2 linked regions of the Lepisosteus oculatus genome follow. The protein of the gene in region 2 purifies or fractionates together with the protein of the main gene of each other region. This does not show direct contact. Links are inferred from orthologs where the notes say so. Each region holds a gene or a part of one and is shown on either strand. Other genes may lie near its edges.

The links.
Region 1: the proteins of ybx1 (region 2) and mrpl3 purify together in Homo sapiens (affinity purification with mass spectrometry; 3 studies listed by BioGRID and IntAct, with this or other methods). This does not show direct contact. The link is inferred for Lepisosteus oculatus from reciprocal best matches to the Homo sapiens genes YBX1 and MRPL3.

What each region holds. Positions count from the first base shown.
Region 1 is NC_090705.1:42,135,206-42,143,103, reverse strand, and holds the start of mrpl3 (large ribosomal subunit protein uL3m), read left to right. Parts: upstream 1-4,880; 5' UTR 4,881-5,016; coding exon 5,017-5,084; intron 5,085-6,213; coding exon 6,214-6,392; intron 6,393-7,898.
Region 2 is NC_090720.1:9,798,822-9,806,028, reverse strand, and holds the start of ybx1 (Y-box-binding protein 1), read left to right. Parts: upstream 1-4,195; 5' UTR 4,196-4,319; coding exon 4,320-4,425; intron 4,426-6,967; coding exon 6,968-7,031; intron 7,032-7,207. UniProt on the Homo sapiens protein: DNA- and RNA-binding protein involved in various processes, such as translational repression, RNA stabilization, mRNA splicing, DNA repair and transcription regulation.

The DNA.
Region 1 (7,898 bases), on a different chromosome or scaffold from region 2:
GGGTTTGCCCGGGCACGTTTAGAGCTGATGATGTTAAGGGAGTGAGGCATAGTGTTCTGAGTGATCCATTGTAAATTATTCCCCAAATTCAGATGCAAAACATGCTGTCTATGATCCACCTACTCAAAAAATGTGAGTGTTGTTAGATTTTGTTCTGTAGAATCAATACAAGCTAGCTTACTCATATAACCTGAAGGTATGCTGGAGGATATTGAACATGAGCACAAAGGAGATTTCTGTTGACAAGCTTAGGCTGTGTGGTTCACTTTTAATGAAGCTAGAAACATCGGTCTGCAAGTCTGTACAGCTGTGATAAACTGAATGAATAAAAAAAGTGAGGGATGGTAGCTGTGACAGAGAGTTAACTCTTACTCTACAGGTTTTCTATCAAGCCAAGACATAACTGGGCCACTGATGCTGAAAGGTCATGGTCATTTCACTGTTTGAAACCTTAGTGACAAATTGTTGAACGTTTTTGATAGTGATGTTGTTAAAGTACACAAGAGCCACTGTTTTATGCAGAAAGGTTTCTAAATTCTCAGCGGTTAGGTTAGTGGGCCTATTTCCCAGGCTGTGCACTATGTTCTCAGGTTGAAATTATTAAGTAACATGGTTTCTTCGAGTTTTTGGAAATAAATGAAAAAACCTTCAGAATAGTATATGTCCTCACTTCAAATTGATTTCAGGTCAATTCAAATACAAATTGCTGGGAAGAAATCTTAAATACATAATATATTGCAAAATATATACAGTACAGTATATACATATGTATAGATAACATATATGGCTTATAGACTTAAGACTGAGGGAAATCATTTGATGTTCCCCAAAGAGCATAAATGAAGGCCAACATTGCATATGAAGTTAACACTGCAACTAATGTCATGACATTGCAGTGCATAAAAGATAATAAGGAATTTTAGAGATTAGATGATAAAAACCTTGTCACCTAAGAGGATCAATAACATCTGTGTGATCTGTGTCAGTGACTGAATGCTTCATAGGAATTACGGGAATATGAAAGGATATTATGTATTACTCTTTAACAGCAACCTTTCACCAAAGGATTCTAGGATTGCCAGTCACACCTCACTAGTAAACTGCATGATGTTTGTATTGCACTGTGCATTTTAAGCACTGACAGCAACAGTCAGAGCTCGTCCAGGTTTAGATCTTACTTTTGGTATACATGGAGTTCATTGGGATCTTATATTGGTGTGCAAAAATATTAGACATTTTAAACACTGTCAAGAGTTGGTGTAATTGAAACACTGTGTGAAAGAAGTTCTCTAGAACTGCATTTTCTGCTTGAAAAATGAGCATAGCTAGAACTCTACAGACCTTATTCAACTTGCTTGCTGTTCTTTGAGAAAGGTGGGAATGATACTAATATTTCTCCTTCTCTCGAAGTCCAGTTGGTTACACCTGACACCTGTGGGCAGTTCTGAAACTCAGATGATGGTACAGGGATGATACCATTTGCCAATCCTATTTGTCGAGAGTAAATGTACAAATATGCCAAAATAATACTTAATTAAATCAATCAGCACGTGCTTTTCCAGAGCCAGGATTGGGAGCCATTGCTTTAGGCAACAGTTTGTTTTTTTCCATTCCTGCATTTCCAGTCCAGTAGTTATTTTCCAGCATGACAATGCAAGACCATTCAGTGCTTGGATAATAGTGGCACATTTGAAGAAATCACTGCTGGGATCTTGCTGTGGCCAGCTTTTTCTCCCTGAATCCAATAGAACAGCTGTGGGTCCAACTCACCACGCCCATCTATGGAAAACAGCTGTTACGGGTCGTCCCTCTGCAGGTGCACATATGGAGTGGTGGAACAACCCACAGCAGTCTTTCCAAACTGAAAACGCCACCAGGATTATGTTAATGCCGAGAGAGTTCATGATCGATACTAACTTTCCAATGTTTTCATTCTGATAGTGTTTCGTCATGAAAACATATGGTGATTCTCTGAGCTGTACGTTAGATCACGTTTTCTGTGCGTTTGGTTGATATCTTTGTTTGAAGTTTCTGCTCGAATCCATTTCACCTGGGAGTTGCGTTTCCTTTGAGTGTAAGTATTCGTGTGAAACTGATTGACGTGTTTCTGTCACAATATGACCAGAGTTTTATTCAGTGGGAAAAGAAGTGGTGCATTGAAGCGGGAAGCAAATGTTGACAGCTGTCCTACACCTTTGTTGAATAAAATGAAGATTTTGACAAATATTCTGAATATTTGGCTCCCACTAAGTCACATTCATGTAAATTTTTCTGAGAAGAAGTCAGAAATACTGTAGATAGGTGCATTTAAAACCTTACAGAAAAAAGACTGACCCCTTAACACTGGGGAACTTAACACTCTTGAAAGTCTGGAGGAATAATATCACTATAAGAACTTTTAAACCAACAGAGAGGGAATATTTTAATGAGACAAGACTGCTGTGAATTATCAGCAGACTGTGGTGTGTGTGTAGTATTTGCTTTTGAGAAGATTAATACGTTTTCATGTGCCTTGAAAGTTTATGCTTGCGCTTCCTGTAAGGGTATTTTTGGTATGAATGTATTTCACACAAATACCGATACTCAAAAGACATGGAATATAAATTTGTATATTCTTAAACATGTTTGCTCTTATAGGTTGCATATGACAGGCAAGTTACAGTATTTGCTGGGCATGATATGTGTAAAATAAAATAAGAGAGTAATTGACAATTTCATGTATAAAATAGTTATTGTAAAGGGTTTCTTTACAAGCAGAATCTACCCTCTCTCGTTCATTCAATTCTGTGGAAAGATAGGTGTTAAACATGAATCCACTTACAAAGGAAAACTTTCTCACAGGAATTCACCTCCATTTCAGAAGCCAGTGCTTGTTAATAAACAAATAAAAAAACTGCATATATTAATTTTGTTGATATCCCTCATTTAACAAAATGAATGTAGCTGATGTCTTAATTACCCAGCTTTGAGCTTCTATTTAAAGTGATTATGTTTTGCTGATTGTTATTAGAGCTGTTCAGCACAAATATAAATAAACATTACTTTGAGTTACACTATCTACAATGACATTCAGAACACAGAATTTTAAACATCTCTCAGCTTTTAAATGCATCTACTGGGCTACTGCACTGAACAGCAAAGACAAAAAATATACTTATTGAATTTTTCCTCAATAATTTTTCCTTTTTAGTTCAACGATTTTTCTTAATCTAATCAGAAAGTGGTGAATATCTTTTTGCTATTATTTTGACTTAGATCCAGACTAGAACACGGAGTGATTAATTTTCATGTCACCCATTAGATAATACAAACCCTGTACTTGCAGGAAGCTCTTTTCCTATCCATTAGAAACCTTTCCTCTCCGAATAGTGTCAAGAACTAATGATTTTCTTTTTTATTTCTAAGAGACATTTAATGTACATTTATCCAAAGAAAACAACATTTAATATAGTTAAGAGAAAAGGTAATTCTGTAGGAGCCTTTGTTTAAAAGCAGTAGCACATACGAATTTGTATCATTAAGTCAAAGCTGTACAACAGAATATAAAAAAACATTTCATATTGAACTCCATATATTATTAAAATGGAACAATATTGGGATAAATATTCACAGATGAAAAAATCAAGGACCCTTTATTCTAGATTTGGGAATTCATTCCTATCCTGCACTCATATTTCATTTCTTTAGTTATACAAAATGTTGGTGATGATGCTTGTTTCAAACTTAATATTGCAGATTCTAAATATTGATTCTAAATATCGTATATAGGAAATAACTATTTTGTTGTAGCTTTTATTACAGTAAATACTAATTATATTTCCTGAGATATGTTTTTGGCTGATAAAAATATCTGCTGGTATTTATGTTAGTCAAAAACAACATTTATCTTTTTTAAGAGATTGAAATTTCTGTAGCTCAATTGCTGGCCTAAGAGAAATGTTTAATCTGAAATTGATTTTGTTCAAGAGAACTAACCAGATGTATTAGTATTATTATGTGGAAACAGATTTGTGGCTTTTTATCCACAGTAATGTCACAAATATGAGTTATCTGTTTTGTTATTTCCGATGAGATTGATAATATTAACCAAATCACACTTGTCATATTGCTTAATCTAAGTATTCAATGCTAGATATAGAATATCCCCTATATTTTTTTATACTGTATATAATTGAATATACCTATATCTATATACTGTATAGATGCCATAATTCACCAGATTAGTGTTTTGGAATTAAAATTACAGTATGTAAACTTTCATTGTGTGCTGCATGTGCTTATTTATCATAAACTGAGAAAGTTGTTAAAGGAATAACACCATTATCTTCATTAAGTACTTCATTAAAGTAGTCTGTGTGGAATGAGAATTAAATTTACTTCAAACTGTAACCTTTATTCAATGGCATATACTGTAGTAAATTCGTAGAATTAAGTAAACACACTCATAGGATTACTTCTGAATCTTGCACCCTGTGTAAAATTATAGATTTGTCAGAGCTGGCATTTTGTCTTGCCGAGACACTTATGAAAACAGTCTATACAGTCACAACCTGTGAAGTTTTATTGTATACAATGAAAGTGTTACTCCTCCTTCATCAGGATGTGTATAGCGCTTCAGGGCGACGTTAGGATAAAAAATCGAGCCATGCAATATACAATTATAATTTCCGTATATAAATATTTTAAATTAATTAAATTAAATATAACGTATTTTAAATTAAAACAGATCTGTAATGCTGTTATGTGCAACTACGATTTCCTAAGCTTCCAAACAATGGGAAAGAATGGATACTCGCGTTAGACCGTGAACTGTGTACCCTATATTGCAGGTTAACCTCCGGAACTGCTTTCTCAGCCTAACTCAGCAGCACGGACGTATTTCTGAAGCGTACCCGGAAGACCTAGGGTGACATTCGGTACAAGCGTGAAAGCCTGAGTGTGGATACATGCCGAAAATTAACATCAGATTCGGACGACAATAAATATACCAACTGAATTAAAAGTTTAATTGCTATAATGGCAGCGTGGAGCTGCAGGTTTTTAAGGTGGGGATTAAGAGACCCACTGTTAAAGGGAGCTGAAAGGTATGTAAATGATTTTGTTATCTGTTTGAGTTCATTCTAAGTCATATGAGTACGATATAAAATACAAAATGTGTATATGAACAGTTACGTTATGTATATCGTCTGTATTTATATTTGTATCGTCTTTATACTAAGATAAGTTTCGACAGCTTGTCTATTTGTGTAACTTCATAGTGATTGCAGGTGCGTGAATTAAGCTGTAGTTAAGCAGTGATGCACATACACTGTACTGTTTTCTTGCAGTTCTTTGAGAGGCGATGCAGTTCTGTGACAACTGAAATACAGTTATACAGTAATTCGGGATGAATAAGCCTTTTGAGTAATAGTTTAAATGAAAAGGAACAAGTAATATGTTTATTCTATGTTGAAAAGAGAAGAAAGTTTCGACCTTGGAGCCTTCTTCAGGTGTGATTTGAAAGCAGACACGCAAGCGCAGTATATGAACACGATATCCACGCGTGCTGGTGGATTTCAAGTGGTCCTCCAGACGCTGTGAACTGTAAGTTTAGATTTAGACTCGAGTCTGAATACGGGATGCAGGAATTAGCGAAATAATTATAAAGGAAGATTAAAAAAGAACGACGGGCAAGCTTTAATAGGCGACAGATTTAGAATCGGCCATTGACTGAAGCAGAACTATTCATCACCCAAAATTTAAGGCCATACTAAGTTAAAAGTAAAGTTTATTCTGATTTTTTTCTTTTACACAAATGTGGATGAGTTTTGCTTAGCTTAAGGTAAAATGATAGTCTCATAGTTTTTACAAAAGATTTTGCTGCTAGTCAGCTAGACCATCTCTTGGATGACCAAGAAAAATCCTGTTAATGAATTGCCTTTTTACATCAGTTACTATCAATATAATTTAAAGTTAATTCTTTATTTTCAGCTTTTTTCACTAAAATGTTTTGGATCGTTCTATTTTCTCTTACCCAAAAAGGGTGCTTCTCCTTTTCAGTATCCACCTTCAGAGAAGATTAAAATTGAATAAATATATAGAAGAAGCAGTCTTATCTGAGGGTTGTGTTGAACGTATGTTTCTTTCTAGGACAGCCTATCAGCATAAATGAAGGTTAATAAATCTACAGATTTAAAAATACATGAGGATTTACTTTATTTTTTGTGTTTGTAGCCCTCTGTGCGTACGGTTTGTTGGCACCATCAAGAGTACAACCTGGTGGGATGAGCACCTTTCCGATGAAAATAACAAGTTCCTGCGAAGAGTGATACCCGAGGAGTACAGCAGCCAGACCGCGAGCAAACTGTGCCCTTTGAAGGATGAGCCCTGGCCCAGACAGGAGTGGGAGGCAGGTAAGGTGTGTGAACAGTTCTAAAAGAGTAAGCAGGAGTTTGCTAGGGGGATGTTTAAACCCAAATGCAGTAGGTTTATTGTCTTTTCTGCCATTGTGGCTAGCAGCCTCAGGGTGGAAGGAGCACAGAACCAACCGGTCGTCCTGGGCTGTGTTGCTCCAGTATGGTAACTGTTCTAAGTTTTGTTCTGCTGCATTGGTTACAGTGAGTGAGCCAGGCGGCCATTTTCCATGAGAATATTGGACAGTACTTCCCCATTTCTGATGACCGTGTTATAGCTTTATGCATTGGTAAATCTCAAACTGAGACAGATCTTTAATATTTGCATATGAAGTGAACACAAATACTTTTTATATTTGGCTTGATTTTGAGTTAATAGAACTGAACACGATTATGCGTAAAGTAGTATTAAAGAATTTTCAGCTCTGTCTGCACTTACTATATACAGCAGCTGCTTAAAGATCTGTAGGATACAATGTTTTTTATACCTTTCCTTTAACGTTTTATTCTTTGAAAAGCAAGAAGCTGGAGCAGAAAATATTTTAATGAATGAAGGTAATGGAGAAAGTAAAGCAATGAAATTTAAATTACATATAGATCAGATAAAATCACTTTGTTAGCCATGTACAGTTTCTTGCATTAAGAATTCATCTTTTTGCATACCCCAGTTTGCTCTCCACGAGACACACAGACAGGGAGAGAAGCTTGGGTTCAGAGCGCAGGGTCAGCCATTGTACAGCGCCCCTGGAGCAGTTGGGGTTAAGGGCCTTGCTCAGGGGCCCAACATAGGATTCCTCTGCTGGCCGTGGGATTTGAACCAGCAACCTTCCAGCCACAGGCGCAGATCCTGAGCCACAGAGCCACCACTCCGCCCCACAGAAATATTTTATAAACAGAAATATTATTTGTTTATGTACATCAGATCCCTGAGTTTTAGATCTGCTTCTGTTACAATCAAAAAATAGAACAAAAAATGTTCAAAACATTTATTTATATCCTCTGTACAACCTAACTGTTCTGTTTGAAAACAAATTTCAAATACCAAGCCGTCGCTTAGTGCTAGATTTGGCGTCTCATGTCAACTTTAGGACGCATTATGATTTTCTCCTGTCTTCAGCTTGTTTTCTGAGGCTTTTGGCTGCTTATATTTTATGTTGCAACATTCACTAATTGTATTCCAAAACTGAGTCAGATCAAACGTTGTTGGAAAAACTATTCTACTAGGTAAATGGTTAACTTTTCTCATTTAACCTGCAATTATGTATAACTGGAGTCAATGCAGCTGGACTGTAAGCAAATGAAGAGTTAAGGAATCTGCTTTCTTGAACACTGGTGCCGGAAATGAATTACAGATAGCACTGTGTAACAGAACATTTCATACAGAGTCTGAAAGAAGCGTGTAAAGTATTTATTGAAGAATGTTAATTGGACATATTAACACCTATTTGTATTTTATAGTGCCAGCATAAAGATATTTAAAACTAGTTCAATGTCTTCATCTTCCTG
Region 2 (7,207 bases):
AACAGCAGCCATAGTGCGCCATTACACTCCCCACACACCTGCTATCAGTGGGGAGGAGTTCAGAGATGGGGATTATTAGGAGGCCATGAAAGGTAAAGGCCAATGGGAAATGTGGAAGTCCACATATATTGTATTGTATAAAGTGGTTATAAAATCTAACAATTCTAGCTGAGGCTCTGTTGCCAATTCTAATTGGTTTTATATGTGCTGGTGAGCAGTGGAGTCTTGGAGCAAATGTGAATAGGGCGTAATGAGAGTGTTGTTTGATAGGGACGGCCTGCGGCTTGCTTCTCACATTGCATTCCCCAGCATCCGATCCTGATGGCTTTAATGCACTTATTGCCAAGCATTCCATTACAAGCCAATAACGATCATGCACCAGCACAGCCAAGCCACCCCGAAACATCATAACAGCCTCCTCTGGAAGGCTGTGGCTTGGTTAGATTAGGCCAAAGGTTTTAGCAGTATTTTACAAGGTAACCACACAACGGGAGGGTGCAGATTATATCAGACATCCAAACACTTCAGACTTGAACATTGTGGCGATGTTCTCGGGAGGCTTTGAGGATTTTTTGCTGCACATTCTAAAGATGGCGGAATGGTACAAACTCCCAGACATGAACACTGTTGCACTAACACCCTGTAGTGGTTGTAATGACCCCAGAAATAACATTTGGACAATAGCTCCTGAAGCCTATGAGCTTGCATTGCCACGTGGTTTTTGTGCCAAATGTTTGGAAGCTGTGATTACCAAGTCCTGACTAAGACCCAAACTTGTGCACGTGCAACATTCACTAATTTCTTTTGCAATCTGTTCGTTTCAGCAAATAAAAAAGTAATTGTGCATTCAAATGTGGAGAAATATATCATGTTTAAATTTGAATCCTCCCGAGACTGCGTTCACTTCTTTTCACTTGGCGATTCAGTGAAACGTGCCAGTTGACCAGGGGTGCCCAAACCTTTGATCACAACTGTGCACGAGTGTTTAAATTGGTGTGCTCGTCTTTGAGTTCTAAAAACCCAGCACTTAACGTGAACAGATGTGCTTCACTGAACCCTATCAACGCCCCCCAGTACCTGATTTCCTCTGCAGGACAGATGGAATTACACTTTCTTCCAAAGAAGGAGGTAAATGCAATAAGTTTTATACAGCAGATTCACACAGGAAAGCTCACTCTAAGTTTCCATATTAGGAGATGTTTTTTCTCTCTACAAACAAAAACAGAAGGTGTGAAACTGAGCTAGACGCTTTGCGGTTGTAATATTAAAGTCAAAAGGTCAAATAATATGCTTGAATTATCCTTTTATACTGTTGCTAAGCACAAAGCATATGAGCTAATACAAATAGTCACTATTTTATATACTTAATAAAAAGGCAAATGCTCAAATTCTTCCTCAATGGTTTGGTTGCTTGAAGTGACCAGAAAGCCTTGATTGTGAATACTAGAAAAACAGAATAAATTGTCTTCGGTCTCGAACAGGATGAATATCCTTCCCCAGTCACAACTCCTAATGAGTCTATTAAGCAACCTAGTGTACATCCTATGATGCGCTGGGAATATACACAGAAGCTACTCTGTCTTGGAAGGCACATGTTGACCGCAAGTTGACTTTCTTCACAGGTTATGGGCTGTTGGTACCAGTAGTCAGGTTTTGTCAATGCATTTTCAGTTCTGTGGTACAGAATGTCATGCAGTGTGGAATAGCTCTCTAGTATAACAGATGTTCTCTGTGCAACAAGTAAGTTAAGATGTCCAAACTCTGAAGATGTGTTCTAAGATAGTGGGCAGGTACTTGAGCAGAGCTTATAAAACTGCATGCATTAACAGTGCGCTGTTAGTATCTCCCTCTGTGTTCTGCAGGAAGAAAATCTACTGATGCCTTCCTGCAGTCGTTTTAAAGTCCCCCGATGCAGATCTTAGAAAGATGAGGAATTCCTTTATCCTACACCCAATCAAACCACTAAGTAAATTAGTTCACAGTGATTTCTGTAGAGTACTGGTTTATGGGCAAGTGCAATTAGTGGTTTTGTGCAGTTCTAGGGTTTTGGAATGATTGGTGAAATGCAGATGGGATTCCTGTAGGAGAGGTGTCTGATGAATTTGTACAGGTCCCCATTACCTGTAAAGCACTTTGAGTAGAGTGTCCAGAAAAGCTTTATATAAGTCCACAGCTCCAGGCTTTCCTGATCTTTGATAGAAGGCATTTGCACATGGTACAGTATGTTACTGCAGCAGTCAGGGAGAAGAGCTTTACTCTAGGGTACAACAGCAGTGTCTTGTCTGGGATGGAAAATCACCACCTTCTGTTTACAAGTCAACAACCACTGCTCCATACTGCTGTCCCAAACCTGTATTTCTGAGAATGTCCTGTTACCTGTTATTTCATAGATCCCAGTGGATAAATCAGTTGAAAAATTAATAATTGAAATGGTATCCTGATATCTCTGGATAACATTCTGAGGGGACAGACCCTGCTCCTAGTTATTCCTCATAAGGACACTGGTCTTAATTTTATCAGTGTCCTTAAAGGCTCCCAGCACAGTGTCCTGATATCATTCTTCTGTGGTCAGAAGAGTTTGTGTGACAGGGTTTGTGATTGAATCAGACGTCAGTGGAGGGTTTTCTGAAGGTCTCCTACAGGGCACCGTAGAGGCCTAGATAACTGTGACAATCCCACAGAATATAATTAACAGTAATTAACTTAACTGCTGGATCGGTTTACTGCATTATGCTAACAGACAAGCAATTTAATATGGGGTTTAGGATTTTCCTGGTGTCCTTCTGACATTTAAAAAAACCCACTCTGGTTTTGTGGAAGTCTTTTTGTGGTGAGGACCAGCTCAAAGCACTTTACAAACAACAAAAATGGAGACATTTAAGGCCTTATAATGCATCAATATATAAGAAAAATGGGGCCTAAATAAAAAGAAAAAACCTATATACAAGTTTAAATTATCTTCATTCAACAAAATGTACTTCAAGATCCTGACTCTTGAGATATGTAATCGTAACTGTTTTTAAAAGTGCTAATGTTCACAATAACGGATTCTCATTACTTTATATAATGTTCTTTTTTTTTAGTTATGAAGAATATCGTATTGTATGCAAAAATAATTATAATATCAATGCTTAGAATTAAAGGCAGCTACGGGATTCATTTTTTGATATACAGTATCTAATCAATGAATCTACTCAACTCATTCAATTTTAATTTTAATTCCAGACAGGGATGAGTCGCAATAAGACTGATTCGGATGGGAGAAGTTTATAATCTAGGGTCTTGCCTTTTAGGGGTTATAATTGCCCATTGCACCAAGACAGTATTGAACGAAGTATGGAAAATGTTTTTACTTGTTTAAAGGCGAAATTTAAAAGAATAGAACTAGGATTAATTTACACTGCGGTACACAGTTAAACAGATTTTCAGATTCTTAATCTAATGTAAACGAATAAACTACGAATAAAACGAATGAACTTGTTTTTGAGGGCTTTAAGGTCTAGGGTACTGATTACAGGCAATCCTGACCTACATCTGTAAACTTCACGCTAATGTTTGCATCAGTAGTTCGAGAGCAGTTTAACCCTCTCCGTGCATGTTGATCAGATGTCTGGTCCGATGTTCCTTGTACTGTCAAACACTGACAATGTTACAGGCGCAGGGCAATGCGTAAATATTCCTATCACGAAAGATAAAGTGGGCGTGATTTATATTAACTGTAACATTTTGCCAATCCCTAGCATCGTGGGCGGCATCCTTGACATTATCTGCCCAACCAGCGCCACTGATTCACAATCTACTCCGGAGAAAAGGGGAGTGTTTGATTGGATTGAGCGCGGCCCCTTCTAAAAACTATGCAGTTGAGTGACACTTCGGTCTTCCAATCAGAGCTAGAAATGCGTACAGCTGGGTTAGATTGACGCGTTGTTGTCCAATCACAACCAAGCACTCGCAGAATACCGAGTAGGCGGGTTTTTATGCCGCTCTGTGGAGTCGCAATCCAATTCACCGCCGCGGAGGTTTTGGTGAAACGGACGGCGCCGCGCACCAATAGGAGCGACGGAAAAGAGCACCGGCCCAAGACGGACAGGGGTTCTGACCAATAGAATCAGAGAATGGGCGGTCGCGCCTCTGACAATATTGTCAGGTATCGGCTCGCTTTCCGTCCAGTTCGATCGGCAACGGGAGCGGAGAAAGGAACGCTGAGAGCCCGAAGGCAGCAGCCCCACCACCGCCGGCCCAGGTTACCATCACGCACCGGGAAAACACGCTAGAGAGCCACCGCCGGCACAAGTGTAACGTAACCCACCGAAACCACCATGAGCAACGAGGCCGAAACACAGCAGCAGCCGCAGCAGCCCGCCGCCGCGGAGAGCCCGTCCAGCCCGGCAGCCGCAGCTACCGCGGGGGATAAGAAGGTCATCGGTGAGCCCCCCGGTCTCTCGTATTTTTTTCTTTTCCCGTGTTGTTACGTGATTTGAACTGGGGACGCGACGCCGAGGTTGAGGGTTGGAGAGGTGACTTTTTTTCTCCGGCGTGCGGTGTGTCGGGCTCCGGGGTTTCTTTGTGTGAGAAAAGTCGGTTGAGCGTTGATGGTTGAGGGGGGGGCGGGGGGGCGAAAAAAAATAATTTGGAAAAAATAACGAGCGGGCGGCCTCGAGCGGGTCCGGGGCAGCAACGGTTCTCGTCCCGTCGCCGTGGTGACGGGAGCGGGCTGCGCTCTCGAGCCCCGGCGCGTGCGGGGAGCCCGGCGGAGCGGAGCCGGTGGGTGGGATCGGGCCGGAAGCGCCGGGGTGGGTTTGTGGATTCCGCTGGTGGGTTTGGGATAGTGATCGGAAAGACACCCCCCCCCCCTTACTCACAAACACACACTACTTGCCCACGCATCCCAATTCCTCCCCTCCTGGGGGTGGGGGTTTCTAGGTGTGGGTTTGGACTGGGCCGGGCCCAGGGGACACATGGCGATCCGGCCGCCTTGCAGGGTCTGTGCGTGTGGGGGAGAAGGGGGGAGCGACGCAGGCGAACTTGGCCTTGCTCTTCACCTCCCCGGGGCAGCCGGGGCGATACTGGCCGCCCGCCTCCCGTAAGTGGGTCAGGTCGCGTTCTCCCGCGGGCCCTTCCGCACGGAGCCCGCCGGGGCCGGCCTGCAGTCCCCGGCCCGCGGGTAACGCGAGTGCCGGGCTGCGGGAGGGCCGGTGTGAAGACTCCCCCTTCCTCACTGCTCCTCCACACACACACACACCCTTTGTTCATTACAGTGCGGTGTAGTAACTTGAGCGTCGTGTACGGGCCGAGGGTGTGCAGCCGCTTCATAAATCGGCAAAGCCGTCTTTCCCGACGAAAATGCCGCTTGACGGCTTACAAAAGAGGCGTCGCGTTCCCCCCCTCCTCGGATTATACTAGCGGCTGTGTGGAAACTTGGCGAGGGGGGAAAAAATCCAAAATGTCCGCCGCGGTGTTTGGATACGAGAGGGATTTCTTTTGTCTGAGGGAGGCGATGTTTTTTTTTTCCTGGCGTGTGGGTGCTGGGGAGGCGGGCGGCGTGACCAGGAGGACCGGACTGCGGCCGATCCCCGTTCCCCGTAGTTTAGGGTGGGGGGGGGGCGATTAATCGGCGGCCCTGCCGTGGAAATCGCCGTCGGTTTGGCGCGGATTGTGGGCGTCCGTCCAGCCACATGGTAGCGCGTCGGGCTGGGAAATATGGAAGTTTCGCGCTGTAACAGGCGGAGACCAGTACAATCGTAATCCCCTGCGCGTCCGTTGTACTGGGAATAATGGAAGTTTGACTGGCGATGGACGGCCGCTTGAATGATTGATTTATCGATACTGTATTTAGTTTCGCGTCCGTGTGGGGAGAGTGCAGGAGACCACGTGTGAAGCATTCTGACACTTCCTTATATCGTTACAGTGAATCATTCTTGTTACAGGAAAGAGCCGAGGTTACGATTGGTTCTTTGTAGCAGCAGACTGTTGAAGCATGGCCGGGCCACGTCGTATACCCCTGTATAGCCAGTAGAAGTTCTTTCGCCCGAAATTATGTTCTGATCCAATCAGCGGGGTTGGTGAATGTATTTTGGACACGAGTTCATCATACTGCTGAAGTAGTTAGTTTTGCAATGGACAGCTAGGCTTTGCATCATAATCTATAAAAAGCTTGTCACCATGTGGTTAAATATAGTGTCCAGATAGTTTTACAAGCCCTACCCCACTCAATAGTCGCAGCACTCCATGCTCCTAGTTCTGAGTTTCTCTGAATTCGGCCAATTAACCAGACAATAGCTGTAGGTCCCGGTTCTGAGCGTTAGGTCCTCATTTTATGTTTCCACTTTTCCTAGTAAACCTTTTCTCCTAGTGCTTACATGGTCAGATTTTAATGAGAGTGATGTTACAGTAAAGTCCAAGGAGTGACTAGAATATAGTTCATAAGTTGTTAAATACGGAAAGCAAATCGGTTCCAATTTTAAGGACTACATTTTTTTTTTAGACAAAACCTCTGCTGTTCATTATTACTGTATATACTTAAAGCAGATTTTTAAGTGACACATGATTTGAATAATGCTTAAAGTTACAGAGGTGTGGAGAGAATTTAAATATTTAACCTGTTTTTTGTCAAAAGAGACTCTAAGAGCCTCTGGGCTGAAGTGTGATATAGAGCTGTAGTTTTGCAGAGATGTGTAAATGACAGGAACGTGACAAGCAAGGGTGTACTGCCTACAGTTAGACTCCTGTGTGTAGAGAGAGAATGATGGTAAAGCATCAGTGCATGGTGAAATTAAGGCTCTACAATTACATTTTACTGTAGAATACGTTAAATACAAAAGAACCCATCAGAGTGAAAGTCTGCTATGAGACATTATAATGTGGTTTTCTTTGTTTTCTGATAATTCTGGTGTCTGGAATTTGTAAGTTAATAATTGCCTGACTGCTCTCTGGGTATATGAAGATGTAAGACTTGTTTGTTTTCCAGCAACAAAGGTGTTGGGAACAGTGAAGTGGTTTAACGTGAGGAACGGCTACGGTTTCATCAACAGGTAATTTAAGCTCTCTCGCCTTGTTTAGGACATGGATGTGACCTGTGGGTCTGATATCGTGCTCAATCCTATTAGCCAGGTTATTTGCTTGTACAGCTGTAGATTTATTAGTCAGTGTCCTGCTCCTGTTTACTTGCTGGGGTTTAGCAAACCATAAGCCTGTTAATTTAGATTGG